Macaca fascicularis: one gene and its partners. The protein of the gene in region 3 binds, or shares a complex with, the protein of the main gene of each other region. Links are inferred from orthologs where the notes say so. Each region holds a gene or a part of one and is shown on either strand. Other genes may lie near its edges. The genes, in order: MAGEA4, UBE2B and RAD18.

Region 1 (10,002 bases), on a different chromosome or scaffold from region 3:
TGGCACAGCCTGTGCACCCTCTGCTCTGTGACTTGAGGACACAAGTCTCAGACCAAGGCCTCATTGCCTTGTTCCTGGAGCTCCTAGGAGATGAATCCATGGGCCCTTAGGGTGCCGACTATAAGCACAGCCCCAGTCCCTCAGTGCTATCAAGAGGGCAGGCTGGACTCTGTGAGGTCCCCACTCTCATAGAGTGGATGGTCCACTCTGTGGTCACTCAGGGCCCTCACATTTCTCCAGGCAGGGCCTGGATTCCACCGTTTTGCTGGCCTGAGAAATTCAGATCAAGCACTCACATGCCTGAGAGGAAACAGGACATGAGGGGCCCCACATCTGGCCACATGTGCCTAGGTCCTCTGAAGAATGACAGCAAGAGATGTCAAAATTCATTGGAACCCATGTGTCCTGGGTGAGGAGCCTGCTTGGTCCTCACCTCAACTCCTGGCAGAGCCTGGGACCCTCCCTCTACTGACCTGGGTGCAGCCCCTCAGACCAAGGCCTCCCCCTCCGTGACATCAGTGATCCCAGGACAAGAGAGGGACCTCAGCAGACAGCCAAGCCCATGCTCTCTGGGGTGACAACAGGAGCAAGGCTGATTTCTGTGGAGTCGTCGTCTGCGTTCTGGCCCTGTGGTACCCTCAATCTTCCCTCACATTCCTCACCAGGACTCTTGGCAGATCCTGGGACCACTGTGTCTGTTGACCAGATAGAGGTCTGTGTTGACCTGAGTAACCCTCTGAGAACAAGGTCCTAACCTCACTGAGATCTGCAATCAGAAATGAGGAGCCACATCCTGTCACCCCTGTGCGGGGAGTCCACAGCTGACCCCTTTGGTCCTGGGGTGAGGGTTCTGATGGCCTCCTGTGGGTCACTCATGTTTGCTCCCAACGGGGCCTGCCCTTCCTCAACCCCCAACCCCCTGAGATGAGCAGATATTGCCCCTTTACTCCAAGACCTCATCTTCCTGAAGGTTCTCCAACTTCCTGCCTATGGTACAAGTAAGATTGGCACATAAGGCCATCCCTGCTCTGGTCCCCCCGAGCTAAGAACAGGGGACAGCCAGACTCTGCGGGGTCCCGTCTTTCTGAGCCACAGGTATCCTCAGACCATAGCCCTCTCCTCTCTGTGACCTCGAAGGTGCAGGAAGCATGAGCTACATGTGGCTACCTTGCTCAGGACCTCCCAGGGCCCAGGTGTCCACTGATCTGGAATGCAAGGACCCCTGAGTCCTCCCTCGTCTTCCTTTCCTTGATCCTGGAAGGGCTGGAACCCACCCCTCTGCTGACCTGAGTCACCATCCCTTGGATTCTCGAGGCTAAAAGAGGAGGCACCTCATTCTCAGACGGGGTGGGGTGGGCTCCCTGCCTTGGGATGCTGGGTCTCCTGAGTCCTTCCTCGTCTCCCAGGAGAGCCAGGGTCCTCCCTCTGCTACCCTGAGGCTCTGCTCATGATACCAAGTCCCTTCCCTCCTTCAGCCCTGGATGTGGATGTCAAGATCCGAGTGCCTGATCATTCCCAGGTCTTCCGTCGGTTGACTGCAGGAGAAAAAATGGATTCTGCAGAACGGAATTGGGGATGGGGTTGAGGATCTGGATGGTGGGGGGATGCTGGAATGTGAAAGGGGTGGGAATGTAGGTCCCTCAATTCCCTCTCAGGGTCCTGATTCTGATGCCAGGCAGAGCCTGGGCCCTGCCTTGGGCACACCAAGCTGTGACTCGAGTCCCCTGTGGCTTTAGTGGCAGTGGGAGCTGGGACGGCCTAGCCTGAGTCTTCCCCCGGGTGGTCCAGGGCTGGCAGCAGGGGCTGAGCTCGATTGTTTGGGGTCCTCTATCTGGAGTGGGGGCCTCCTCAGTCCTTCATCAGAGTCTCACCTTGCCTCGTCACAGAGCTTGGGCCTGCTCTCCTCAGTCAATCTCAATTATCCCCTCAGGACCATGCCCTCGATTCTCTCTGACCCCCAAAACGTCCCAGCACCAAGTCTGGGGTTTCCCTGGATTGATAGCAGAAGGGGAACTGGATTCTGCCTGGTGAGGTTGGAGGGCAAGGAATGGGAAATGGGGCAGCGAAGTGGTAGGGGATTTGTGGGAATGGGGGTTAGAGTGGGATCTTGGGGGACCTCAGTTCCCTCTCAGGTTTCTGACTTTGATTCCTGGCAGATCCTGGGCCATGCCCTCTCCTAACCAGCCCTGCCCTGATCACACCAACCTCTGACTCCAGAGTCTCCTGTGGCTTAAACAAACGGGTTGCAACAGGGGCGGTGGTGGGGAGCAGCCCAGCCTGAGAAGTCGGCCTCCTGGGTGGTCCAGGGCTGGCAGTAGGGATGGTGCTGGATTAATTGGGGCCCTCTATCTGGGGGGGGGCCCTTCTGAGACCTCCCTCAGCCTCTCACCTTGCCTCCTCAGAGCCTGGGCTCACTTCTCTCTGCTGATGTCAAGCTCCCCCTAAGGAGAACCTTGCTTCTCTCTAACTCCCAATGAGCAAGTCAGTGGCGTCACATTCGGGTACCAGGGACTTTCCTGGATTGACAGCAGGGGCTGAACTGTATTCTGCCAGGGTGGGGGTTCCGGTGGGAGGGGTGTGGGTGGAAAGGCAGAGCGGAAGGAGATCTGGGTTGAGGTATAGGAGTGGTGGATAGGGGTGGGAATGGCAATGAAGTGGGGGTGGGTCATGAGAGTGGGGATTGCAGTGGACTCTTGGAGGCCCTCAGCCCTCCCTGAGATTCCTGACCTTGATGCCTGGCAGAGCCCAGATAGTGCCCTCTCCTAAGCATCCCTTCCATGGTCACACCACGCTCTGACTCCAGAGTCTCCTGTGGGGACCGGGTGTGGGGACAGGTGGTGGTGGGGTGGGAAGCTGGAGGCGGCGGCCTAGCCTGAGAAGTCAGCCTCCGCGATGGTCCAGGGCTGGGACCTTCTATCAGGGATAAGGGTGTCCTGAATCCTCCCTCAGAGTCTGACTGCCTGCTCACAAAGCCTGGGCCCCCTTCTGTCTGACAATCTCAAGCCGTTCTTCAGAACCAGAACCTCGCTTCCCTCTAATCCCCAATGCACAAGTCAGTGGCATCACATCCGGCCACCCAGGGCTTGCCTGGATTGAAAGCAGGGGTGTAACCAGATTCTGCACGGATGGGGATGAAGGTGGGGGGCATGAGGCTGGTGGGGGGTGTTGGGGAGCATAGGGGCACAGGTGGGGGATGGGGGTACAGATGGGGTTGGGAGTGCGGATGGGAATGGGAACAGGGTAGGGGATAGGAATGGGGTGGGGGACGCTCCACCCTCTCCTAGGGTCCTGATGTTGAAGGTTAGCAAAGCCTGTCCCCACCAGTCTTGCACTGATTACACCAAGCTCTGACTGAACAGTCCCCTGCGGCTTAAGCGGCAGTGGAGTGGTGGGCCCCAGACTCAGATGTCCGCCCACGAGTGACCCAGGGCTGAAAGCAGGAGTGGTGCTAGATTATTTGGGGTCATCCATCTGCAGTGGGGAGGGTCTCCCGAGTCCTCCCTCAGCTTCTCACCTTGCCACCTCAGAGAGCCTGGGCCGGCTTCCCTCTGCCAAGCCCAAGCTGCCTGTCAGACCAAGAAGCTAGCTTCTCTCTAACCCCCAATGCGCAAGTCACTGGCATCACATCCGGGCACCTGGGGCTTCCCTGGGTTGAAAGTGGAACTGGAACCCGATTCAGCCTGGATGGGAGTAGAGGTTTTGGGGTGGGGATATGAGGGCAGTGATTCAGCCTGGATAGGGGTAGAGGTTTGGGGGTGGGGATATCAGGGTGGTGGGAGTTTGGGGAGGATAGGAGTACTGGTGGGGAATGGGGGTGTAGATGGGGTTGGGAGTGTGGATGAAAATGGGAACGGGGTGGGGGACCCTCAGCCCTCTCTTACAGTCCTGAGGTTGACGCCTGGCAGAGCCTGCCCTCACCAGTCTTGCACAGATCCCCCCAAGCTCTGACTCGAGAGTCGCCTGTGACTTCAGAGGCAGTGGAGTGGCGGGTGACCCAGACTCAGAAGTCTGCCCACGGGTGGCCCAGGGCTGGCAGCAGGAATGGTGCGGGATTATTTGGGGTCGTTTATCTGGGGTGGGGGCCTCCTAAGTCCTCCCTCAGCATCTCACCTTCACTCCTCAAAGGGCCTGGCCCGCTTCCCTCCGCCAATCCCAAGCTCCCTGTCAGACAGAGAAGCTCGCTTCTCTCTGACCCCCAACGCGCAAGTCATTGGCTCACATCCGGGCACCTGGGGCGTCCTGGGGTTGAAAGCGGAAGCAGAACCCGATTCAGCGTGGATGGCAGTGGGAGGGATGAGGATGGTGGAGGGGGCAGGCTTTTTGGGGTGGGAGACGGCGGTATGAGGATGGTGGTGGATTGGGGAGGATGGATGGGGTGCTGCAGAGGGATGGGAGTGTGGATGGGTTTGGGAGTGCGAATGGGAATGGGAAAGGGAACAGCGTGAGGGATGGGAAGGGGGTGGGGGATAGGAATAGGGGTGGGATAAGCTCAGCCCTCTCTTATGGTCCTGAGGTTGATGCCCGGCAGAGCCTGCCCTAACCAGTCTTGCACTGATCACCCCAAGCTGTGACTCCAGAGTCCCCAGCGACTTCAGAGGCAGTGGCGTGGTGGGTGCCCCACACTCAGAAGTCCACCCACGGGTGGTCCAGGGCTGGCAGCAGGAGTGGTCCAGGATTATTTGGGGTCGCCTATCTGGGGTGGGGGCCTCCTGAGTCCTCCCTCAGCATCTCACCTTGACTCCTCACAGGGCCTGGCCCGCTTCCCCCCACCAGTCCCAAGGTACCGGTCAGACAAAGAAGCTTCTCTCTAACCCCCAATGCGCAAGTCAGTGGCATCACATCCGGGCACCTGGGACTTCCTTGGGTTGAAAGTGGAAGCGTGGATGGGAGTGGGAGGGGTGACGTTGGTGGAGGGAGCGGGTATTTTTGTGTGGGAGATGGTGGTATGAGGGTGGTGGGGGGTTGGGGAGGATAGGGTTGCTGGTGGGGGATGGGGGATGGAGGGTTGTGAATGGGAATGGAAACGGGGGGGGATGGGAATGGAGGTGGGGGATGGGAATAGGGGTGCGGTAAGCTCAGCCTTCTCTCATGCTCCTGAGGTTGATGCCCGGCAGAGCCTGCCTTCACTAGTCTTGCACTGATCACCCCAAGCTCTGACTCGAGTCCCCTGAAACTTCAGAGGCAGTGGGGTGGTGGGTGCCCCAGACTCAGAAGTCCGCCCATGGGTGGCCCAGGGCTGGCAGCAGGAGTGGTCTGGGACTATTTGGGGTCGTCTATCTCGGATGGGGACTCCTGAGTCCTCCCTCAGCATCTCATCTTCACTCCTCACAGGACCTGGCCCCCTTCCCTTGCCAATCCCAAAGTGCCGGTCAGAGAAGCTCGCTTCTCTCTAACCCCCAGTGTGCAAGTCAGTGGCCTCACATCCGGGCACCTGGGGCTTTCCTGGGTTAAAAGCAGAAGCGGAACCCGAATCAGCATGGATGGGGGAGGGAGGGGTGACGGTGGAGGGGGTGGGAATTTTGGGGTGGGAGACGGTGGTATGAAGGTGGTGGGGTGTTGGGGAATATACCTGGGCTAGTGGGGGATGGGATTGTGGATGGTTTTTAGGAGTTCGAATGCGAACAGGGTGGGGGTGGGAATGGGGGTGGGGAAGGGGAATAGGGTTGGGGGACATTCAGCCCTCTCTTTTGGTTGTGAGGTTGGTGCCTGGCCAACCTTTCCCCCGCCCATCTTGCATTGATCACACCATACTCTGATTCCAGAGTGCCCTTCGACTTCAGAGGCAGTGAGGTGGTGGGTGCCCCAGACTCAGAAGTCTGCCCACAGGTGGCCCAGGGCTGGCAACAGGAGTGGTCCGGGATTATCTGGGGTCGTCTATCTGGGGTGGGGGCCTCCTGAGTCCTCCCTCAGCGTCACACCTTGACTCCTCACAGGGCCTGGCCCGCTTCCCTCTGCCAATCCCAAGGTGCCAGTCACACAGAGCAGCTCACTTCTCTCTAACCCCCAATGCAAAAGTCAGTGGCATCACGTCCAGGCACCTGGGGCTTCCTTGGGTTGGAAATGGAAGCGGAGCCTGATTCAACGTGGATGGGGGTGGGAGGGGTGACGTTGGTGGAGGGGGCGGGTATTTTTGGGTATAAGATGGCGGTATGAGTGTGCTGGGGGGTTGGGGAGGATAGGGGTTAGTGGGGGATAGGGGTGTGAATGGGTTTGGGAATGCGAATGGGAATGCGAACAGGGTGGAGGATGGGAATCAGGGAAGGGGAATAGGGTTGGGGTACGTTCAGCCCTCTCTTTTGGTCGTGAGGTTGATGCCTGGCCGACCCAGCCCCCACGAGTCTTGCACTGATCACTACATACTCTGACTCCAGAGTCCCCTGAGACTTCTGAGGCAGTGGGGGTGGTGGGTGCTCCAGACTCAGAAATCCGCCCATGGGTAACGAAGGGCTGGCAGCAGGAGTGGTGCGGGATTATTTGGGGTCATCTATCTGGAGTGGGGACTCCTGAGTCCTCCCTCAGCGTCTCACCTTCACTCCTCACAGGGCCTGGTCCGCTTCCCTCCGCCAAGCCCAAGGTGCCAGTCAGACAGAGAAGCTCGCTTCTCTCTAACCTCCAATGTGCAAATCAGTGGCATCACATCCGGGCACCTGGGACTTCCTTTGGTTGAAAGCGGAAGCGGAGCCCGAATCAGCGTGGATGGGGGTGGGAGGGGTTAGGTTTGTGGAGGGGTGGGGTATTTTTGTGTGGGAGATGGTGGTATGAGGGTGGTAGGGGGTTGGGGAGAATAGGATTGCTGGTGGGGGTGGGAGAGTGAAAGAGTTGTGAATGGGAATGGAAACGGGGTGGGGGATGGGAAAGGAGGTGGGGGATGGGAACAGGTGTGGGGTAAGCTCAGCCCCCTCTTATGGTCCTGAGGTTGATGCCGGGCAGAGCCTGCTCTCACCAGTCTTGCACTGGTCACCCCAAGCTCTGATTCCAGAGTCCCCTGCGACTTCAGAGGCAGTGGGGTGGTGGGTGCCCCAGACTCAGAAGTCCGCCCACGGGTGGCCCAGGCCTGGCAGCAGGGGTGGTCCGGGATTATTTGGGGTCGTCTACGTGGAGTAGGGGCCTGCTGAGTCCTCCCTCAGCGTCTCACCTTGACTCCTCCCAGGGCCTGTCCCGTTTCCCTCCGCCAACCCCAAGCTGCCGGTCACACAGAGAAGCTCGCTTCTCTCTTAACCGGCAGTGCGCAAGTCAGTGGCCTCACATCCGGGCACCTGGGACTTTCTTGGGTTGAAAGCGGAAGCGGAACCCGATTCAACGTGGATGGGGGAGGGAGAGGTGACGTTGTGGAGGGGGCGGGAACTTTTGTGTGGGAGATGGCGGTATGAAAGTGGTGGGGGGTTGGGGAATATACCGACGCTGGTGGGGGATGGGAGTGTGGATGGGTTTGGGAGTACGAATGGGAATGGAAACGGGCTGGGGGATGGGAATGCGGGTGGGGGATGGGAATGCGGGTGGGGGATGGGAATAGGAGTGGGGTACGCTCACTCCTCCCTTATGGTCCTGAGGTTGATGCCCGGCAGAGCCTGCCCTCACCAGTCTTGCACTGATCACCCCAAGCTCTGATTCCAGAGTCCCCTGTGACTTCAGAGGCAGTGGGGTGGTGGGTGCCCCAGACTCAGAAGTCCGCCCACGGGTGGCCCAGGCCTGGCAGCAGGGGTGGTCCGGGATTATTTGGGGTCGTCTATCTGGGGTGGGGACTCCCGAGTCCTCCCTCAGCGTCTCACCTTGACTCCTCACAGGGCCTGCTTCCCTCCGCCAATCCCAAGCTGCCGGTCACACAGAGAAGCTCGCTTGTCTCTAACCCACAGTGCGCAAGTCAGTGGCCTCACATCCGGGCACCTGGGGCTTTCTTGGGTTGAAAGCGGAAGCGGAACCTGATTCAACGTGGATGGGGGAGGGAGAGGTGACGTTGTGGAGGGGGCGGGAACTTTTGTGTGGGAGATGGCGGTATGAAAGTGGTGGGGGTTTAGGGAATATACCGGCGCTGGTGGGGGATGGGAGTGTGGATGGGTTTGGGAGTGCAAATGGGAATGGAAACGGGCTGGGGGATGGGAATGCGGGTGGGGGATGGGAATAGGAGTGGGGTACGCCCACCCCTCCCTTATGGTCCTGAGGTTGACGTCCGGCAGAGCCTGCCCTCACCAGTCTTGCACTGATCACTCCAAGCTCTGACTCCAGAGTCCCCTGCTACTTCAGAGGCAGTGGGGTGGTGGGTGCCCCAGACTCAGAAGTCCGCCCACGGGTGGCCCAGGCCTGGCAGCAGGGGTGGTCCGGGATTATTTGGGGTCGTCTACCTGGAGTAGGGGCCTGCTGAGTCCTCCCTCAGCGTCTCACCTTGACTCCTCCCAGGGCCTGTCCCGTTTCCCTCCGCCAATCCCAAGCTGCCGGTCACACAGAGCAGCTCACTTCTCTCTTAACCGGCAGTGCGCAAGTCAGTGGCCTCACATCCGGGCACCTGGGGCTTTCTTGGGTTGAAAGCGGAAGCGGAACCGGATTCAACGTGGATGGGGGAGGGAGGGGTGACGTTGGTGGAGGGGGCGGGAATTTTTGTGTGGGAGATGGCAGTATGAAGGTGGTGGGGGGTTGGGGAATATACCGGTGCTGGTGGGGGATGGGAGTGTGGATGGGTTTGGGAGTGCGAATGGGAATGGAAACGGGCTGGGGGATGGGAATGCGGGTGGGGGATGGGAACAGGAGTGGGGTACGCTCACCCCTCCCTTATGGTCCTGAGGTTGATGCCCGGCAGAGCCTGCCCTCACCAGTCTTGCACTGATCACACCAAGCTCTGATTCCAGAGTCCCCTGCGACTTCAGAGGCAGTGGGGTGGTGGGTGCCCCAGACTCAGAAGTCCGCCCACGGGTGGCCCAGGCCTGGCAGCAGGGGTGGTCCGGGATTATTTGGGGGCATCTACCTGGAGTAGGGGCCTCCTGAGTCCTCCCTCAGCGTCTCACCTTGACTCCTCACAGGGCCTGTCCCGTTTCCCTCCGCCAATCCCAAGCTGCCGGTCACACAGAGAAGCTCGCTTCTCTCTAACCCGCAGTGTGTAAGTCAGTGGCCTCACATCCGGGCACCTGGGGCTTTCTTGGGTTGAAAGCGGAAGCGGAACCCGATTCAACATGGATGGGGGAGGGAGGGGTGACGTTGGTGGAGGGGGCGGGAATTTTTGTGTGGGAGATGGCGGTATGAAAGTGGTGGGGGGTTGGGGAATATACGGGTGCTGGTGGGGGATGGGAGTGTGTATGGATTTGGGAGTGCAAATGGGAATGGAAACGGGCTGGGGGATGGGAATGCGGGTGGGGGATGGGAATAGGAGTGGGGTACGCTCACTCCTCCCTTATGGTCCTGAGATTGATGCCTGGCAGAGACTGCCCTCACCAGTTTTGCACTGATCACTACATACTCTGACTCCAGATCCCCTGCGACTTCAGAGGCAGTTGGTTTGTAGGCGCCCCAGACTCAGAAGTCTGGCCACGGGTAGCCCTGGGCTGGCAGCAGGAGTGGTGTGGGATTATTTGGGGTCATCTATCTGGGGTGGGGACTCCTGAGTCCTCCCTCAGCGTCTCACCTTCACTCCTCACAGGGCCTGGTCCGCTTCCCTCCGCCAAGCCCAAGGTGCCAGTCAGACAGAGAAGCTCGCTTCTCTCTAACCCCCAATGCGCAAGTCAGTGGCATCACATCCGGGCACGTGGGGTTCCTTGGGTTGGAAGCGGAAGCGGAGCCCGATTCAGAGTGGATGGGGGTAGGAGAGGTGAGGTTGGTGGAGGGGTCGGGTATTTTTGTGTGGGAGATGGCTGTATGAGGGTGGTGGGGGTTGGTGAGGATAAGATTGCTGGAGGGGGTGGGGGGATGAAAGGGTTGTGAATGGGAATGGAAACGGGGTGGGGGATGGGAATGGAGATGGGGGATGGAAATATGGGTGGGGTAAGCTCAGCCCTCTTTTATGGTCCTGAGGTTGAT
Region 2 (10,212 bases), on a different chromosome or scaffold from region 3:
ACTGCAGAAGTGCTTTTCTTCCAGACAACTATCATACTATGACATGCAGAAGTGCTTTGTTCATACATCTTACTTCCTATCATACAGAATATTAAAAAGACAGATACTTGGCTGGGCATGGCTCATGCCTGTAATCCCAGCACTTTGGGTGACCGAGGCGGGCAGATCACCTGACGTCAGTAGTTTAAGGCCCCAGCCTGGCCAACATGGTGAAACCCTGTCTCTGCTAAAAATACAAAAATCAGCCGGGCATGGTAGCGCATGTCTGTAATCCCAGCTACTTGGAAGGCTGAGGCACGAGAATCACTTGAACCTGGGAGGCGGAGGTTTCAGAGAGCCAAGACTGCACCACTGCACTCCAGCCTGGGTGAGAGGGCGAGACAAAAAAAAAAAAAAAAAAAAAAAAAAAAAAAAAAAAAAGATACTCAAGGGTCCAGAGCTTCCTAATACTAATAAAAATGTCTTTAAGAAATTAAGAAAAATTGGTAATTTAAGACAGGGTCTCACTCTTGTCACCCAGGCTGGAGCACAGTGGCTCCATCAGGGCTCACTGCAGCCTTGACCTCTCGGGCTCCAGTGATCCTCCCAAGTAGCTAGGACTAAAGGCATGTACCACCATGCCTGGCTAATTTTTTGTGAAGACGGGCTCCCCCAGGCTGGTCTCAAACTCCTGGGCTCAAGTGATCCATGATCCACCTGCCTAAGCCTACCAAAGCGCTGGCTATACAGGTATGAGCAACTGCCCTGGCCAACTGGCATCTTTTGTACCTCCTTCAACTCCTTACCCCCACCTACAGATAATCACTGATAACAGTTTGATATATAACCCTTTAACATAGACACACATGCATGTATGTATTTACTAAAAATGTGATGCTACAACAAACATTATCCTGCAGTTTTTTTTGTCCTCTTAAGACAGTATGTCCAAATCTGCCTTATTCTTTAACAGGTACATATTCCAGAATCCAGATACATCATAATTTGCTTAACCATTTCTCCTACTGGACATTGAGATTACGTCCTTACAAACAGAGAATTATCAATATTCTCGGATATTTTTGATGAATTCTGAAGTCATTTTGTTAATAACAAAGCTGTTTAATAATTTCTTAAAATCCAATACTATAATTAGGAAAACTCTTAAGTACCTGGTTAAAATCAATTTGTTAAGCTCAATTATAAATACGTTATTAGAACTCGTTTCCCATTTTCCTCGCCCCGATGAAAATACGCAACTTGAGATGCCAAAGATTATGCAAAATGGTAACTACTTATGGGTGTTAAATGCTGGTAGTACTTGAAACTACTGGCAGCTATGTATGTTTATGAAAAAGTTCAGCTCAACACCCTGTCAAATATCAAAGATAACAAAGTAAAAAAGCATGATTTACTCTTCTGGTGTTCACCTCAGAGATATCTTTATTAAGGCCACCTAAATTTAAACTATTCTCAACATAAACATTGCCATCTTGGCTTACAGTTCTACACAAAAATATTAAAGTAACCTTTAATACCGGTTACGAATGGAGGTGACCAAGCTGCTGTGGGAAAAAGTCCCTTATAAAGTATAAATTTTCCATAGCTTTACTTTTAACTTGGCCTATTAACCATAGAAAATGGCTTCAAGTAGATATGTTGGTGTTACAATTTTCTACCAAAAAGTAACCTCATAACACTATAGAAAACATAATGAGTATGACTTACCATCTTCAAAAGGTGTCCCTTCTGGTCTGAAAACAAGAAGATTTCTGATTAAAAGAAGTTTCTCATTCTGCTTTTTCTTGATTTTCAAGAATGGGAAAGGATAAATTTACTCCAACAGAAAAAGAGGAACTCATTCTGATGATTTGTGGAGTTTTAAGATAGAGTTTAATAACACTTTAGCCCTGAATTTTCATAGACCCAGGCATAAAGTATAACTTTCATTCTAAGCTTTCTTTTTAGGGTGGTTTTACAAAACCAAACAAAAAAACTTGCCCATAATTTTAGCACAAAAAAACTTTTTTTTTTTTTTTTTTGAGACGGAGTCTCGCTCTGTCGCCCAGGCTGGAGTGCAGTGGCCGGATCTCAGCTCACTGCAAGCTCTGCCTCCCGGGTTTACGCCATTCTCCTGCCTCAGCCTCCCGAGTAGCTGGGACTACAGGCGCCCGCCACCTCGCCCGGCTAGTTTTTTGTACTTTTTTAGTAGAGACGGGGTTTCACCGGGTTAGCCAGGATGGTCTCGATCTCCTGACCTCATGATCCGCCCGTCTCGGCCTCCCAAAGTGCTGGGATTACAGGCTTGAGCCACCGCGCCCGGCCTAAAAACTTTCATTAATGCTGACCAGTCATTTTGTACATATGTATATTCTTTTTTTTTTTTTTTTTTTTGAGATGGAATTTTGCTCTTGTCCCCCAGGCTGGAGTGCAATGGCACATTCTTGGCTCACTGCAACCTCCTTCTCCTAGGTTCAAGCAATTCTCCTGCCTCAACCTCCCGAGTAGGTGGGATTACAGACGCCCAGCTAATTTTTGTATTTTTAGTAGAGATGGGGTTTCACCATCTTGGCCAGGCTGGTTTTGAACTCCTGACCTCAGGTGATCCACCCGTCGCAGCCTCCCAAAGTGCTGGGATTACAGGCATGAGCCACTGCACCTGGCCCATATGTATATTCTTAAGAGGGAAAGTCATCTTTTCATTTTACAGCAATAAGAAGTAAAGCAATACTCTAGTTATGATGCTAAACCCAAGTGTCCTGCTTTCCAATGGAGCCACAACTTTTGTTCAAATAGGCTAAGCATAGTTGATGTCACCAAAGAGCCAGATTTGTTTGCTCAGATCCTTGCCCCCACATCCCAATTTCATCTTTCCTAAGCAGCAGCATAAAGCTTAATTATTACTTGCAAGGCATATTCAGGATCTCAAAGCAGCAGGATAATATCCTGAAGGTGCCATGTATTCAACTCAGATTCAGAAGTACTTTATGAGGATGAACTTCACTCATTTTCCACTAGTCTTTAAATGTAGACTCTTGTAGCTGATTCTGTAGTGTCAGAATTCTGTTTATCAACATATTCCTTTTACTTTTTAATGCAAAACTCTAGTATCAAAGGAATGAAAGAAAAAAATAGATCAAGTCTAGAAAAAACAAAAAAAAGCATAAGGAAATTTTAAATTAAAAAGCATATATGCAATATATATAGTAGGTAAAATTTACAGCTGCTTCTCAAATGGCTGCATTCTGTTATTTTACACTGGGCTGTGAATCATTTTCACTTAAATTCTTGCAGCAGTGGAAGTTCTTAATATTTTTGGTTCCAAACCTTTTAACAGCTCCAACAGAATGAGAGCATTTGCATGATATGTTTTATACAAAGTAATTTATTGTTTCTCCTTTATTATTCCATTCCATTTAGTTTTGAGTAGTATCTTAAAAGTAAAACCCCAAGTGATTATAAAACCATATGTAATAACATCAAAGAGCAAATAAACTTTGTATAACTGCTGAAACTTTTTCCCTTTTTTTTTTTTTTTTTGGATAGCTGGCTGCAGCCTCAAACTTCTGGGCTCAAGTGATCCTCCTGCCTCGGCCTTCCAAGTAGCTGGGCACCACCATGCCCAGTTAGTTTTATACTTTTTGTAGAGACAAGGTCTCTCACTATGTTGCCCAGACTGGGCCAAAACTCTTTTTTTGGTGGAGAGGGGACAGAGTCTCACTGTCTCACTATATCGCCCAGGCTGGTGATGAACTCCTGGGCTCCAGCGATCCTCCCAGGCGTTGAGCTACTGTGCTGGGCCAAAACTCTAATTGAAAAAAATTTTTTTCTAATTTATCTTGCAGTTTTAGTCCTTAAGATCTCTCATTCTACCTCAGTTTCTTTTCCTAGACAGTTGTTATATGTTCACTTTTCTTAAAGATTCAGCACACACCTATTATTTGTTAAACCTTTCAACTCACCCAAATATAACTGCATTCCACTGCATGATGTTGTTTTCAGATGGTGCACCACTGACACCCACAGGTGGGTCCTCTTGTAACCTAGAAATCCAGCGTTGTAATTTAAAAAGTTGAACATTAAGGCCACTAAGGAGGCCACATAAACACCTACAGACACTACACCATCTATTTTGAGACACAGACTAACTCCATTTCCTTGTTATTGTGAACTAAAATGAACCATATGACTTAGATATATTAACCAGGTATATATACTTATTAAATACCTCTCCAAATTACCTAAAAATCCGAAGGGCTTGAGAATCATCCCTCTTTCAATATTATCAAGAGTATCTCTTCAAGAATTGATGTATATAGACTGTCCTCTTATACCAAAAAAAGTTTAAAACCTCAAAAGCAAGTAATATTTTTACAGAACCATTGATTTTGCTGCTCTAAACATGCAAAGACTGTGTATCCTAACCACGGCTACTTCTGCAAAATGGCTACAAGAAAAAAAAAAAAAGCAAACCTCAGTGTAAACACGAAATGACTGAAAACACATTAAATTTAACTAGGAAACTAGTATTAGGCAGCAGATTTACTCTATCCCTTTTGCTTCAAACAGCAATGGCTTTAAAAAGTAATCAGTAGGTTTTCCGCCAGTCCCTATTTTAAAGGCTCTGCACTAACATCAAATCTACCTCTCAAATCAGGAGACTCAATACAAGGCTTTCCCACATTCGTCATAGTCAAATTCTTGTAACCTATAGATCTCTGGAAAACTACAAAAGGTGCCATGTATTCAACTCAGAATTAAGCAGAGCATTACAGTAAGGAGCCAGGGCGACAATGACATGAACTAGTTTACTATCTGAATTTTAGTCATGAGTGCTAATCAGATACACTGATTTCAAGCTTTAGAAAAATGACTTTTGCACCAAAAAGGGCATCTCCTTTCAGAGACTGTAACCTCAATTAAAAATGCTACATTATACACACTCACAAATACATATGGAGTTGTTTTCATGGGGCATCATAATTTGCAACTAGTCCACATAAAAAAAAAGGTTTTTAGTCAATCTCAAGCAAATTAGGCCACCACAAACAGAAGCCTTAGAGGAACTGCACTGCTTGACGCCTACCTTTAAATGGCTAAGAGAAGCTACGAATGAATTAAATAAGTTGGCCAAATCCAAATGCCTCACATAGGCTTTATAATAGCTGAGAGGTGACTTCCTGAGCGACAAATCTATGTTTTTATGCTATTTTGTTCAATTAGGGTAGGTGTCCCCAGAAAAAATTTTAAGAAAAATGTGCAGAATATCAAAATGTTTTCTCACTTATTTTGTTTTTTCTACGTTATTTTGTTTTTTCTACGTCTCTAAGTATCCAATAAAAGGTAAACTAACGGAATAATCATTTTCTTCCTCACAACCCCAATACCTCCTAACAAAACCCTATTTTATTTACCAAAGAAGGCCCAGGGAGTATCAAATTAGCGCCAGTCTAAGGGAAGGCATTTTTCCAGACTCGGGAGGCTATAGATAGGGCTTTCTTCACCAGCCAGATCTGAGTTCCAGAAGGCACTGGCAGCCGGGGTGGCCAGCTCTAAGGTCCCAGATCTCTAAGTCAGTTCCCAAGGTCTTTTCAGGCGGGCGGGGACAGAGTCGGGTTTCGGGGGATGGGTTAACCTCCGAGCCTCACGCACTGGACCCCACCCTCACGGCAGAAATGGAAAGGACTGGCGAGGGTGGGGGGCTGGGGAGGTTCACCCCAACCCGGCTCCTCGGAGAAGACTGAGGGGCCGTGAAACAAAGCTGACTGGTGCTGCCGGAGAAGAACAAGCTCCCGCGGGAGCTCACTTTGAGGGGACAAGAAAGGGTCTCCGCAGGGTGCAGGGGCGGGAGGATGATGTCTGATCCCCGTCTGATCCCCTGGACGAGACCCCGGGCAGCTGGCCGAAATGGGCAGCGGGGAACCCTAGACCAGTCGATCGACATCGTTTTACTTTTTGGGGGGAGGGGAAGCAGTATCGAAATTTCTTCGGGCGCCAGAGCGAGCGGCAAGGATAAGGAGAGTAGGGGCCGAGGTAGGACCCGGCTTCCGCCAGTCCCCCTGGGCCCACAGCCGGCCCTCTGAGGGTCACAAGGGGAAGGTGTCCGGGATCCACGCCCTGCAGCCCCGCAGCTTTGAGAGGCCGTCATCTATGCGAAGCTGAAGGCCCTTACCGCTTGAAATCCCGCATAAGCCTCCTTCGGGCCGGGGTCGACATGCTCCGCAGCTGCCCCGCGGTCAGTCTGAAAGAAAAGAGTCCCGCGCAGCCCCCCCACCCCCCGGCGCGGCGGCCGAATCACTGTGGATCGCCGCTGCCGCCGCCGCCGCCGCCGCCGCCGCCAAGACTGACAAACAACCCTGCAATGACGTCTCCCTCCGCCGCCTCCGGATCCCTCCGCCCTCCGCCGCTACCACAGAGTGAGTGCTGGGGGAGGAGGGGGCGGGACGGGGGAGCGCGCGTTCCCTGAGCCCTTCAGCGGGGCGTGGTTCTTCCTGGGCTTCCTGAAGTGATCGACAAATTTGTGTTCTCTGTGTTCAGACTAGAGGTTGTGGATTCAGAGACCACGAAACCGACACACTATCCTGTCTGCCTCCCCGTCTCTAGTTTAGGCTCGGCGGGGTGGAGAAAGAAGGACGTATCCGGGCCAGGGATTTCAGGGAAAGGAGGTGGGATGATGTAAGATCACGTGACTGCCCGCGGCCTTGTCAACAATCCACCCCTGAGGGGGAGGGGGAGAAGTATCTAGAACCACGTGTCCCTGTGACGCGTTTAGAACGGGTCACGTGAGAGCCTCGCCTGGATGTGAGTTTCGGCCAGGTCTGTGAAGCGGGTCTAAGAGGGTGAGGGCTGGATACACCTTTATTAGTTGTTTTCGGTTTATCACAGGTATAGAGACATTACCCAAGAGGTCGTGGGAGGATCAACAGCTTGTTTTGTTTTCTTTAAACCGGGACCAAAAATAACTCCCCTCTGGTTGGTTCAGTGGCTTATGAACTCTGGTACTTGGGGCAAGAAGAGAGAGGATCGCAAGATCTTCTAAGGCAGCATTGAATACTGAGGGCCACACAACAATCTCCTGAAATGGTTCCTTGAAGCTACCAAATAGTCTTTCTGCTTTGCAGTGGGGTTTCTAGTATTGGAAATTCTGGGCAAACATTAAAGGATGGTGTATTATGCAGTTTTTCCTTTCTGGGTCTGCTTTCAATTGAAGATATGTGTCAGAGTCCGGGGACTTGCCTATGGGGGGGAGTACCATTGTATTTTTAAGAATGTGGGGGTGCAGTCTTCCAAGCATATCAATGAGTGGTTGGTTGTCAAAGAAACCTACAAATATGATTCATATGTGGGGGAGAGCTCCAGCAGACCTGAGTGAGGGTTATCTATCCAGCCTGAGACAACTTCAGGTTTTTTACACTAGCAAGAAAGGTGCAAATGGGCGAGAAGTGCCCCCCCACCACCAGGGGGTTCAGAGGTGTTGACCTCCCACAGACCTTGAATATTTTTTGTAGTTACTGTCTTTCCCTGTATTGCTGCTAATTCCTACTTTCAGGACTTTGTTATACTAAGGACTCTGAGTACTTTTGTATCCATTTGGGGAATTGTTCGGTTCAACAGGTAAAGGGAGGGTGGAATGAGGACCTTAGCATTGCCTCAACCTTGCCCCTAGTTCTATGGAAGCAGAGTTAACTTTTCCGACTTTCCTTGTACCTCTTTCTTCAAACCCTGAATTCTCTCAGCTTCCAGTGACTGCCTTAGTGATCAAGTTAGCCAGGCCTAACTCTTGATAGGTCCTGTTAGACATTCACAATGTGTTTTCTAAGTTAAAAGCTGAATATTCTTAATGTTTTTGCTTTTCTGCCATTGCAGTCCTAACCCTTCCAATAGCAAAGGAGGAAGACACACAGGCAGGGTTACATGGAGAAAAATGGTAAATAGAAACTATATCTTAAAAATATCCCTCATGAGCTGGGGCATTAGCTCATGCCTGTAATCCTAACACTTTGGGAGGCCAGGAGTTGAAGACCAGCCTGGGCAACATAGGAGATCCTGTCTCTGTGCACACGAGTAGCCCCAGCAACTCAGGAGGCTGAGGCAGAAGAATCGTTTGAGCTGCAGTAAGCCATCATCATGCCACTGAGACCCTGTCTCAAACCCTGCAACAACCAAAAAACCCTTATAATTTATCAGTCTAGGCAGTCACTGAAAGCAGAGACAGAATTCAGGGTTTGAAAAAAGGGAGGTACAAGGAAAGTGGGAAAAGTTAACCCTTTCTGGTTCCATGGAACTATGGGCAAGATTAGGGCAATGCTGAGGTCCTTCTCCTACCTCCCTTTCCTTGTTGAGCTGAAGAATGGATACAAAAGTGCTGAGTCCTCCTGACGCACCAACAAAGTCCTAAAGATGGGAACTGGAGGCAATGGAGTTTAGGAATTCCGTGACTACAGGGATTTATAATTGTTTCGGAAACAGTTTAAATTTTCCAAAATGAATTAACACTTTTAACTAATTCAGTGCATGTGCATCATAAAGTCTTACAGCTGTGTATTAGCAAGAATCACTGGCTGTTCTGGTTAACCAGGCCTGCCATAACCTACTTGTAGAAGGAATAATTTTAAAGCTATTAATTGTATGCTGTTATCAATTCTGTAGCTCTGGATTATGAGTTCATTGAGGGCAGGGACTGAGTTTGGTTCATCTTTGTCCTGGGCAATGTTTTTTTATTTTTTGAGACAGAGTCTTGCTCTGTCACCCAGGCTGGAGTGCAGTGGTGTGAAGAGGGCTCACTGCAGCCTTGACCTTCCAGGCTCAAGCAATTCTCCTTCAGTTGCCCAAGTATCTGGGACCACAGGTGTGCACCACCACACCCGGCTAATTTTTTGTAGAGACGGGGTTTTGCCCTGTTGCTCAGGCTGGTCTGGAACTCCTGGGCTCAAGTGATTTGCCCACCTTGGCTTCCCTCGGATTACAGGTGTGAGCCACTGTGCGCAGCCTCCTTGCAAATATTTTGCCCACAGCAAATAATATGCTTACACGAAGTTTGAACCCACTATAAGATTTACTATGACATTCTTATTTATAGAAGGTGTTTTATATTGTGGTTGAATAACATTCTTTTTTTTTTTTTTTTGAGACGGAGTCTCACTGTCACCCGGCTGGAGTGCAGTGGGGCGATCTCGGCTCACTGCAAGCTCCGCCTCCCGGATTCACACCATTCTCCTGCCTCAGCCTCCTGAGTAGCTGGGACTACTGGCGCCCACAACCGCGCCCGGCTAATTTTTTGTATTTTTTAGTAGAGACAGGGTTTCACCATGTTAGTCAGGATGGTCTCCATCTCTTGACCTCGTGATCCGCCCGCCTCGGCCTCCCACAGTGTTCAATTACAGGCGTGAGCCACCGCATCCTGCTGAATAACTTTCAAATAAGACAATTCTGAATATTTTAGGTGATCAGTGAAAACGATGACCACTTCTCCTTTCTCTCAATATAAACCGTAGCAGCATAGAAAACTTGAGAAGCTTCAAACATACTAATTTATTTACCCTATCTCAATTAAATCAGGCTCTCTGGTGTTGGGGCGGGGGTGTGGATGTGGGAGTTGGGAGTTGCTTTCTAAAAGCTCTCCAAGTGTGATTTAAATATGCATGCTGGGGCGGTACCCACCGGACTAGAATTTATTAAGTATTGCCTTTCCTCTTATTTAGTGGAAGCATGGCGAGATTTCGCTTTTTACATTTAACTCATTTTATAGAAAAAAAGCAAAGAAAGCCCTATTCAATAAAGAAAGCACTCCCTAGGCACTTGCTCTAGTGATACGGTGGTTATTCATTAGGGACTGTCACTCCAGCTGAACTCTATGTCTACTTAAGCAGTTAAACACTGGCCTCTTTATTTCTGCGCTCTTGTACATCATTTCGTATATGGTGGAACCCTTCGAATTACTTGCTTCCCTAGAGTTTGACACGTGGTGAGGGAGGTTTTTTCCTTTAAAAAACATTACTAGCAGTTGGAAAAAATTTAAAGGCGTATGGCAGGTGTTCAAGAAAAGTTTTTAAGAACCATCTTGACCGGGCGCGGTGGCTTAAGCGTGTAATCCCAGCACTTTGGAAGCCTGAGGCAGGCGGATCACCTGAGGTCAGGAATTCGAGACCAGCCTGGCCAACATAGTAGAAACCCGGTCTCTACTAAATATACAAAGCCGGGCGTGGTGGCGCACGCCTGTAATCCCAGCTTCTC
Region 3 (10,144 bases):
CCAAAGCTACTACCAACTAAAACCAATTTCTTAGGCCTAAGTTGACTGTTTTTTAACTTTCCAAGATAAATCAAAAATAGAGGACAAGAAAGACCATGAACCTAAATATCCTAAATAACCCATAAACTGTGTGTCTAGCTCCTCAACAATGACAGGGTAACCCCTATGCACTAAATATCTCAAGGTACAATATTTTTAAATGCTTATATACTAGACTCATAAAGAGAAGTACAAACAAATTCCAATGTGAGTCTTTCCAGCATCACATAGCAGTTAAGTTATAAAACTGTCTGTAATAAAGCCAGTGATAGAATTCTCCCACTGGGGAAATACTGCTACAGAATTTTTAAACTTTGAAATTCTATATCAAGTACTACTTGATGGAACCACCTATCTGTTACCCTGTTAAAAACAAAAATTCTGAAACTTAACATCAAAAAGCACTTTGGCAAATAAAGAATCACTTATTGTGACCAAAAATTTTACTGCCATAAATGCTATAAAAGGCATAAACATATCAAGGAGGAACGAGGTAGAAAATATAGAAGCCTTGTAAAAACCTTCAATATTCAAGAGGAAGGCAGTGAAAAAGACCTTCTGAAAAACTACAAGATAGAAGAGCTAAAGGTGAAACATAAATATGTGCACGTATCTTTGGTGTTAAATTAACACTACCTCATGTAAAAATCACAATTTACTAACTCACAGGAACAAAGCATACTTACAGTTATGTGAACACTGAGGTATTATCATTGCAATGTTGAAATACTCGAAGCAAATTCCACACCGCAGCAAATCATCTATTGTCTGTAATGCAAATGTGCATATATACGTATCAGAAAGACATCAAAATTGGAAGTCTTGTCACAAAAGTTTTTCTCTATCCCCTAAAAAAAATTCAAATTCTTTGTCAAATACACAAATTCAAAAGCTAACTCCAGATAAACTGCAAGGGATCTTGACAAATAAAGAAAAATTTCTCTCATATGACTCTTATACATTCAGTCTCAGGTTGCCCAAATCGCTTTAGACAGCTAAAGATGATGGTGCACCGATTCTTGTGCCATATTGTCATCCCTTCACATAAAGGCTACTGTACTTCTGTTCCACTTCTAATGCACTTCCAGCTCTTACTCCAAGCCTCCTCCTCTTCGGATTCCAATACTTAGCCTATAGTCACTATTGGGTGAAAGGTGGCCATTGCCACCACACAGGTTAAGAATCAAATCAAAGAATGTTAAAGCCAAACACTAGAAACTGTCTAGTCAAAAGAGGAAACTGGTATCAAGAGCAGGCACAGAATAGTAGGCATTAGTCAAGTCAAAACCAAAATTCCTGTCTCCCTTCTGGCAGTCTAGTGCTTTCTGCATGGTACCACGCAATGGAGCCAAATGAGGAAGCCCGGAAAGAGCTGGGGCAGTGAAAGCAGAGGAAGGGAAAGTGGACAACTTGGAAAGAGAGATGTGTGCCAACCTGGAATGCAATCCAAAAGGAAAGGAACTACTTTTGCAACTTAAAATCTTTCAAATTGTTTAAAATAGTATTCCATTCAATGGAAATATTTTTTAAAAGGAGGAAGCTCTCGGCAGGAGGATCACTTGAGTCCAGGAGGCGTAGGCTACAGTGAGCCCACACCACACCACTGTACTCCAGCTTGCATGACAGAGCAAAACTGACGATGCTCTCCTTCATACTGGTATGAAAAGATTGCCAAGATAAGTGAATAAAGGAAATAAGGTACAGACAGTACATATTCTACGCTACCGTTTTTTTAAAGGAAGAGGTGAATAAGAATGTATTTTAATAGGCCTAGCATGGTGGCTCTTGCCTGTAATCCTAGCACTTTGGGAGGCCAAGGCAGGAGAATTGTTTGAGTCCAGGAGTTCGAGACCAGCCTGGGCAAAATAGCAAAAATCCATGTCTATAAAAAATTTTAAAATTCGTTGGGCGTAGTGACGCATGCCTATAGTCCCAGCTACTCAGGAGGCTGAGGTGTAAGGATTGCTTTAGCCCAGGAGTTCAAGGCTGCAGTGAGCCGTGATTGTCACTGCACTCCAGTATGGGCGACAATGAGACCCTATCTCAAAAAAGAAAAAAAAGGAAAAAAGAATGCATTCTGTTTTCATCGTAAATATAAATTAATTATGAGAATATAAACAAGAAGTCATAAATAATGATCAGGGCCAGGAACATGGTAAGAAGACGACTTTTACTTTTTATTTTATGTGTATTTTGAACCATGTGAACCTATTACCTGAATTTTAAAAATTTAAACAAAAAAAGACTAATGTCACTAACGGTTCATATGATGAAATATTAGGCAGTCATTAAAGAACATGCTTTCAAAGGATAATTAATGCCATAGGAAAATAAAAATCAGAAAATAAATCTGTGCCAATAATACATAACAACTCTGCAGTTTAATCTTCAGAGCAATCTTACGAAGTCCACAGCATCAATATCCCAATTTTAAAAATAAAGCCTACAGAGTTCCTAAGTTGGCTGGATCAAACCCAAGAAGTTGACTCCACAGTGGTCCCAAATTTTAAATGCATAAAAACCAAAGGAAAATAAAGTAAAATGTTAAACACTGGTTCTCTGGGTGGTAGAATCATGGATGGTTTTATTTTTCTCCTTTATCTTACTCTGAATTTTAATTTTTTTCTACTGTGTACACATATTACATTTACGATCTGCCAAAAACAGTAAATTTTTGTTAAAGTAAAACCTGCCAAAATCTTCCATTATTGTGGATGGTAAGCTGTCACAGACACAAAAATTAAGAGCAGAGGCAGGCCCAGAAGCCAGAACTAGTCTATCATATCACACTTTCTTATCTATGCCATCCTCTTCTGGTGGAGGAATGATTCTGAAAGATCTGTAGCGCACAATTTGTGGAAGTTGACACTACATCAGATGAGCTATTTCTGTTAAAATTTCTGGTCATGTCACTCCAAGACAGTAACATGCATATCACATGTGCCTCAACCAACCAAACAAAAAATGATGCCTAAATAGAGAGTGGCCAGCAGATCCCCCAAAATTTCTTTACTTTAGAGAGAGAGAAAGTGAAAGAGAGAAGTAGAAAACAGGTGGAAAAATGTAATAATTACAAAAATATTCTTTAAGTTTTTGGGGTTACAGATTCCTTTGAAAATTGAATGAAAACTATGGACTCTCTTCTCAGAAAAATATACATACAAAAATTTTACAAATAACTTGAGACTCCAAAGTCTTTCTGTGGATCCTAAGTTAGCAACCATGCATTCTGAGTCAGACTTCTATTCAATAAAAGAAGTAACTTCAGTCAGATCTGCTTCTGGGATCTGATAGTTCTTTGTCCCTGGAAGAATTCAAGCAAAAATTAAGTGAGAAATTGGCAGATGTGTTATACAAGAGGTTAAAATACTGAAAGGGACTGGTTTTCTAACCTTAAGATTCCATGATTCTAATGTGAGCAAAAAATATGGGCTCAATCAACTCTCTGGTTGAACACTCACTGAACACCCTGTGGTGCCAAACTCTACATTCAGTGCTGTGGTGGGATACCAAAGTCAGAGAAGACATGGAACCCGCCTCTAAAGAACACTGAAATTGTGGGAATATGTAAAGTATGCTTAAATCTACAAAGCAGGAGCTTTACAGGTTACAGAGCTCTTTTACTTTCCTTATCCAAGTCAAGCTTCATGACAACAAATTAAAAGGGGAGAGAAGCACTTAACACCGTGCTAATAATAATAAAATACATTCATTGAATGCTTACTACATTCCAGATACTTTCAATCAAGCAACAAATATTTGAGCACCCACTTTGTGTCAGGCACTGCATTAAGCACGTGAATACACAGCAGAATCTGTGCCCACATACATCAACTAATTTATTTAATCAATCCTATGAACTGTTTATTTTTGTCTCTAATTTATAGTTGAAGAAATTCAGGCTCAGAGAGGTTAAGTTAATAACTGAAGGTCACACAGTTAAGAGGCAGAGAAGAGATTTCACCCAGGACCACTGGAACTCATATCTGTGCTCTTCTCCACTGCATCCTGGTACCAAGCCCACCACAACTTCAAAACTACAGTTTTCTTGGATCATTTCACAATGTCAGCTTCTCGTCATGCAGGTATCTCAAGTCCGCAAGCACTCTAGACGTCACTGATAACAGCAGGAAGAACAAGGCCTACTTACTTTAGCCTTCACTTAATTCTAAAGTCAAATTTATGAGTCAGTGGGACAGATACTATAATCCCCAAGTCTACAAAACTGAGGAAGAGAAGAAGGCTACCTTAGCCACTGTCAGAAACGGAAATAATCACAGAGCAAGAAGAAACTAAGCAACTGATTTTTAGCCAGCACAGCAAAGTGCATCTGCTCTTGAGCAAATCCAGGGCCCACCGCTACTGTAAATGGAAACTGGTATGCCTTGCTGAAACCGAAAGTGGCCACAAAAATAAATGTTATTTAAGTGAAATCATTAGATGCAATGCAAGATCAGCGCTGGGCCTGAGTCCTGATCTCTGTTTAAAAGACGGAGAGATGAGCAATTGTTAAAGAAGAGTGAGGGTGTGTTAGAGAGGAGTTGGGGCAGCATGTCACAACAAACTAGCACTAGGTTTATTGAGAATAATCAGAATAAATGAAAGAGCCTGTAAAGGAGACTACCTGCTCGGCTACGTGATTACATACATGTTATCTGATAAACTTTCCACCCAAAACCATGTCCGGTGTCACTGTTTAGTGCTTGACACAAAGTAAGCTTTCAGTAAAGATCAGCTGTCGATGTCACTGTTTAGAATAACTGCTCTTCTCCCAGTTATTGTTGGGATTGGATCGCAGAATATCTGGTTCCATAAGACTGCCAACCTCAGCTCACCAGGCTTGTCCTTGGCACTTATCAGAGGAGTAAACTGAGACCCAGAGCCACGCGGTCGGCTAGTGGCAGAGCAGAGCCGGGTACCCTGGCCCAGGGCTACGCTCGCGCCTCATCCTTTCTCCTTAAGGCGAAGACATCCTCCTCAAAGGGAGGGACCTCCCCCCGCAGACACCCGGGAGCTCCCAACCTCTCCGAAGCACTCACCTTCATGACTGCCAGGCCCGGAGGCCACTGAGGCTCGGCCAGGGAGTCCATGGTCTCTCCCGAAGATGCTAGGGGTCCGCCACCCACTAGCCTCTGGCGCTCCAATACCACTCGAAATTCCCCGCGCTACTGCATTACGTCAGCAACCCGCGACGCGCCTGAGGCGGGCGCGGAGCCTGCCGGAAGTTGTAGTAGTATGTGGGCGGGGCGCCGCTTACGGTGCTTGTACTGCGCATGCGCCAGGCTTCTGCCACACTTACCTTGAAGAAAGTGAGTGGGTTAGAAAACCTAGAGCCAGTTGAATGTTAAGAAAAGATAGCCAGGAATCAAACCAAATCCAGACCACGACAGATCTGTCAAGGTCTAAGCTCATGACCCCCTTCGGGTCGCCCACCCTGATCGCAATGACGATCCGTCCCTGCTCTGAACAGAAGTTTTTATATCCATTACTTTCTCTCTCCCATTTTACAACACTGGGAGGTAAATGTTATCATTGTCAGTTTACACAAGAGGAAGGCTGCGCCCGAAAAAAGAGGACAGAGTTTCGAGTCAGATTCCAAATAAGACATCTGGGCTTTAAAAGGGAGCTCTTGCTTTTATTCATATTAAGGAAGGAGACCACTACTACTCCTGCTGCCGTCCTCCCCACACCTTGCCTGGTTCACAAGACAGAAGAAAAGAGAGAAAGCAAACAGTTAGAAAGAAACAAAAGTAAGATAAATAGCCAGACAACCTTGGCACCACCATCCGGCCCTAAGAGTTAAAAAAAAAAAAAAAAAGTAATAATAATAACATCAACCTGGCCTAAACTACTTCTGTTATCTGTAAATTCCAGACACTGTATGAAAAAAGCATTGTAAAACTTTTTGTTCTGTTAGTTGATTCACGTAGCTCCCAGGCATGTTTCCACGCTTGCTTGATTTATCACGACCCTTTCACGTGGACCCCTTAAAGTTGTAAGCCTTTAAAAAGGCCAAGAATTTCTTTCTCCGGGAGCTCGGCTCTTAAGACATGCATCTGCCAATGCTCCCGGCTGAATAAAAAACCTCTTCGTTCTTTAACCAGTGTCTGAGAAGTTTTGTCTGCGGCTCGTCCTGCTACAATATTAAAATTTTAATGTACAGTTTTTCTTCAGAGAGAAGCACTGTTAACTTTGGCATATAGCCTTCCAGATACTTCCTAGGCAGATTGACAAACATTCTTTGCTTGAGCGAACTTTAATCAGGCTCCTGAACCTTCTCTTAGGCCAATCTGTGTACTTCCTTAAAAAATCCAGTTTTAGCAAAAAAAAACCCTGCTAAATCAAGTTACCAAGAATCCCCACCTTTGATATGTGATCACCCTTGATATCTGATGGGTTCCTCATCCTCCACCGTCCCCCAGTTGATGTCTGATCACCCTGGCCTCTTCAGCAAGAATCTACTGTTACCCCTGATGTTTCCTCTTAGTAATTTTTCATGCACTGCTCCCCACCCTGCTTCCTGTCTATAAATTTCCATTTGCTCATGTTGTATTCAGAGTTGAGCCCAGTCTTCACCAATTACAAGACCCAGTTGCAGTGGTCTGTATACCTACTTGAATTGTCCTGATTAAGTCTTCCTTATTGTGCTTTAACAAGTATCACTGGACAATTTTTTTCTTAAACAAGATACAAACATAGATACTTTTTTTCATACATGTTATATTAAATGCATAGCTCTGCCAACTTGAGGGTTTTGTTTGTTTACTTAACCATACCACCATACCTCTTGAGACCTCTACATGTTTGTACATATAAATTTATCTCATTCCTTCTAATAGCTAGATAGACCATAATATGGATGTACTACAATTTATTTGTGTAGTTCTGTATTATGGGGCATTTAGGTTGTTTCTAGTTCTTTTTGCTATTGCAAAGAGCTGCAGTGAACATGCTATCTCTATAAATCTTGGCACACTTGAGTCAAGATATCTGGGGATGATTTTCTATAAATGGAACTGATAGGTCGGTTTGTGTGCTCTCTGTGATAGGTAGCACTAAATGGTCCTCCAGTAAGGCTACACTGATACATTTGCACTTTGACCAAGAGATTATAAGAGTGCTTGTTTCCAAATGTGAAGCACTAATTAGCACGCCACTCAGCCTGTCTGTTCAACTCAGCATTCACCAACTGCCTTCTGTAGGCCTCTGTTGCATCAAGTCTTACAGGCAGCAAGTAGCACAGATGTGGCTCAGGGCAGAACCCTGCAGCTTGCCATGTCATTGTCGCCCCACGTGGTCCATTCACTACTTCATTTCACAAATATTTTCTGAATGCTTACAATGGGCCAGACACTTGAGCTTTCCTGGGAAACAGGCAGAGATCAGATTGTTATTGCCATCTTACAGATGAGGACACTGAGGTTCAGAGAGCTTACGACTTCACTCCTCTGAGCTCTCTTCATAAGAACCCTCTGGCCTCTGAGCCAAAGCTGTAGTAAATTGATTTTTCCCAGCTTGCGCCCAAATACTTGCTGGGCAATCATATTAATACTAATAGCATTTAGAGAAAGGACTTTAATAGCCACTACAATAATAGCTGACATTTATTAGGACCTTGTTATGCAAAGCGCCATTCTAAGTTTTTTACACATATGTACTTATTTGACTTATTCACAGGGCACCCTGTTGGTAGTGGAAGATGAAATATTTGAACTCAGGCAGTCTGGCTCGAGAGTCCATATTAACCACTACAGAATATTCTCATAAGGCCTTCATCATTAGAACTGAGTCTCAGAGAGGCGAGGGGACTCACATAAACCACAGTTTGTGCGTGGCATTGTCCAGGACTGAACCTAGGTCTTTTAACCTCTAGCCAGATGAAATCACCCATTGATTTTTTTTTTTTTTTTTTTTTTTTTTTTGGAGAAACAGTTAAGCAAACCAAGTCAAGGGGCAGAGCCAGGTCTGAGAATCTGAGGTTGTTGGACCTAGTGGGACTCCCAACAGGAAGATGAGGAATGGAGGTTTACGGTGCCCACCCCCGCCCCCCGCTTTGTATCAGCCAATCATAGAACGGCATGCAAATAAATGCCAGGCTGAACTGGAAAATGTTGGATAGTTCTGGATGCGGGAGAAGTGGGGTCTTGGAGAGACAAGGGAAAAGCATCTAAGACCAGGTCCGTGGCCTGAGTAAACCAGTAATCGTTTTTTTCACAGTACTAGTTGGACAAGGTAATTAGGTTTAAGGTGACAAATGGCTGGAAAGGTGAGAGAGGAAGAGAGAGGAGATGAGAAAAAAGAGAAAGAATGGGGAAGGAGAAAGGGAGAGAGAGAAAAGACAGGGACAAAAATGTACTCTTTGCATTCAACCATGGAGACAGATTTGGAAGAAGGCAGTACATGTTGGTCCTGGGGCCAAAATTCATTTCCCTATTTATGGAGAGCCTCCAGGACAGAACCCGGTGCCATTCATCTCTGAGTGTCTGCCAATAGCTGCTGGGTGAGGCTGAATGAATGGATGAATCACCCATTAAGCCCACATTCCCATAAATCTTTTCCTCCCAGGCTGAGCGTTCCTCTTCCTGCCATCTTCAGCAGCACCCAGGGAGATAGATCCCATCTAGCCCACCTCTGAGCCCAGGAAGGAAAGTTCAAGAACACAAACTCACTTTGAGCTCAGGAGAAGGCATTTGTCTTGGGTGTTTATCTAACCCTGGGAGCCATTCTCCTCTTAACAAGCTGCTGTTTGTACGAACTTTCTCCTTCTGTTAGATCAATAAAGAGATTGTACTTCCTTATTCAGGACTAAAAACAAAATGTTCCATGTAAAATAAAAGCAGGCTAGTGTTTAGTGCAATCTTCAGTGGCACACAGCACACAGTGAGGAGCCAGAATAGGATGGCCCGATAAAATACAAGTTGCCCAGTAAATTTGAATTTCAGATGAACAGCACACAACATTTTAGTGTAAATCTGTCCCAAATACTGCACACAACATATTAACCAATTATTTGTTGTTTAGCTGAAATTCAAATATTTAACTGGGCATCCTGTATTTTTATTTGCAAATCTGGCAACCCTAATTAGGGAAGCATTCTCCCAACTGAGTGTGGGACCTGCCCTGGATTAACCTGGGGATGTCCTGTGGCCCCTGAGCTCCTTTCCAGGTTCTCTTCATCCTATTCCTCTCTGCCCAGCACTCTCTCTTCCTTTAGGCCCCATCTTCCTCATTCTAGTTATGGGAAAGGGGATATTAAAGGAGCTCCCTCTCTCCCCTTCCTTCCTTCCTTCCTTCCTTCCTTCTGTCCTTCTTTCCTTCCTTATTTTTTTCTTCCTTCCTCCCTGCCTCCTTCTCTCCCTTCCTCCATTCATTTTAACAAATGTTTATTGAGCCACTCCCCACTTGTGCCAGGTGCTAGAATACAGAGGTGAATAAGACAGATATGGTCTCTGCTCTCTCGGAGCTGGCAGCCTGGGGGCGAGCGTGGAACCAGGACAAAAAAAGAGAGTTTGTAAGAAAATGAGTAAGATAATTGCATAAAACAGTAACTAATGTAAAAACAATAAAAGAGGATGATGAAATAGACAGAGGAGGGGACACTGTAAATTGGATGATCCGGGAGGCTTCCTCTGAGGAAGTGACGTACGTGCAGAGACCCAACTGATAAGACAGAGGCAGCCATGCAAAGACCCAAAGACCCCAGAAATGGAGAGTTCCATGCCTTAGTAAAAAGTTCAGATTTTAATCCATGTTAACTTGGGCAAGTTGTTGACTTCTCTGTGCCTCAATTTTCTCATCTGTAAAGTGGGGATAATATTAGTATTTGCCTTGTAGGGATGTTGTGATAATTAAAGGAGTTATTGTAGGTATAATGCCTAGAAGGGTGCCTGGCAACTACTAAGCCCTGTGTGTCAGCTGTCATTAATATTATGTTGCTATAAGCACAGGTGGGAAGCCCTTAGATGCTTTAGGCAGAGGTGTAATTTACATTTTCCAAAGGTCATTCTAGCTGCTGGGTGAAGAAAGGATGGGAGTGGAAAGTGTACAGTAGAAGAAGGTGACAGGGGCTGAACCTGGGTGGCACAGTCCGGAGGAGGTAAAAGTG

The links.
Region 1: the proteins of RAD18 (region 3) and MAGEA4 are in contact, whole or in part, in a crystal structure (PDB 9BD3), measured with the Homo sapiens proteins. The link is inferred for Macaca fascicularis from reciprocal best matches to the Homo sapiens genes RAD18 and MAGEA4. Residues at the interface, in NP_064550.3 of Homo sapiens: Ser348, Phe350, Gln351, Leu353, Val354, Gln356, Ala357, Arg358, Lys359, Gly360, Tyr361, Lys362, Lys363, Ile364, Ala365; in NP_001011548.1 of Homo sapiens: Ser111, Val114, Asp115, Ala118, His119, Ser158, Lys160, Met161, Ile162, Ile204, Ile205, Gly208, Thr209, Met212, Glu224, Glu225, Val228, Met229, Gly230, His237, Val239, Tyr240, His290, Val291, Val294, Asn295, Arg297, Arg299.
Region 2: the proteins of RAD18 (region 3) and UBE2B are in contact, whole or in part, in a crystal structure (PDB 2YBF), measured with the Homo sapiens proteins. The link is inferred for Macaca fascicularis from reciprocal best matches to the Homo sapiens genes RAD18 and UBE2B. Residues at the interface, in NP_064550.3 of Homo sapiens: Tyr342, Arg343, Lys344, Lys345, His346, Lys347, Glu349, Phe350, Leu353, Val354, Gln356, Ala357, Arg358, Lys359, Gly360, Tyr361; in NP_003328.1 of Homo sapiens: Pro20, Val22, Gly23, Val24, Ser25, Gly26, Ala27, Ser29, Glu30, Gln35, Asn37, Ala38, Val39, Phe41, Gly42, Pro43, Glu44, Glu49, Asp50, Lys54, Leu55, Val56, Leu73, Ser74, Asp151, Ser152.

The regions. Positions count from the first base shown.
Region 1 is NC_088395.1:157,987,169-157,997,170, reverse strand, and holds the start of MAGEA4 (melanoma-associated antigen 4), read right to left. Parts: upstream 4,751-10,002; 5' UTR 4,734-4,750; intron 4,130-4,733; exon of another isoform or gene 4,111-4,129; intron 1-4,110. UniProt on the Homo sapiens protein: Regulates cell proliferation through the inhibition of cell cycle arrest at the G1 phase. Also negatively regulates p53-mediated apoptosis.
Region 2 is NC_088380.1:140,908,109-140,918,320, reverse strand, and holds the start of UBE2B (ubiquitin-conjugating enzyme E2 B), read right to left. Parts: upstream 6,325-10,212; 5' UTR 6,196-6,324; coding exon 6,152-6,195; intron 4,023-6,151; coding exon 3,942-4,022; intron 1,734-3,941; coding exon 1,708-1,733; intron 1-1,707. UniProt on the Homo sapiens protein: E2 ubiquitin-conjugating enzyme that accepts ubiquitin from the ubiquitin-activating enzyme E1 and transfers it to a E3 ubiquitin-protein ligase. In vitro catalyzes 'Lys-11'-, as well as 'Lys-48'- and 'Lys-63'-linked polyubiquitination.
Region 3 is NC_088376.1:147,214,272-147,224,415, forward strand, and holds the start of RAD18 (E3 ubiquitin-protein ligase RAD18), read right to left. Parts: upstream 5,239-10,144; 5' UTR 5,130-5,238; coding exon 5,079-5,129; intron 888-5,078; exon of another isoform or gene 808-887; coding exon 726-807; intron 1-725. UniProt on the Homo sapiens protein: E3 ubiquitin-protein ligase involved in postreplication repair of UV-damaged DNA. Postreplication repair functions in gap-filling of a daughter strand on replication of damaged DNA.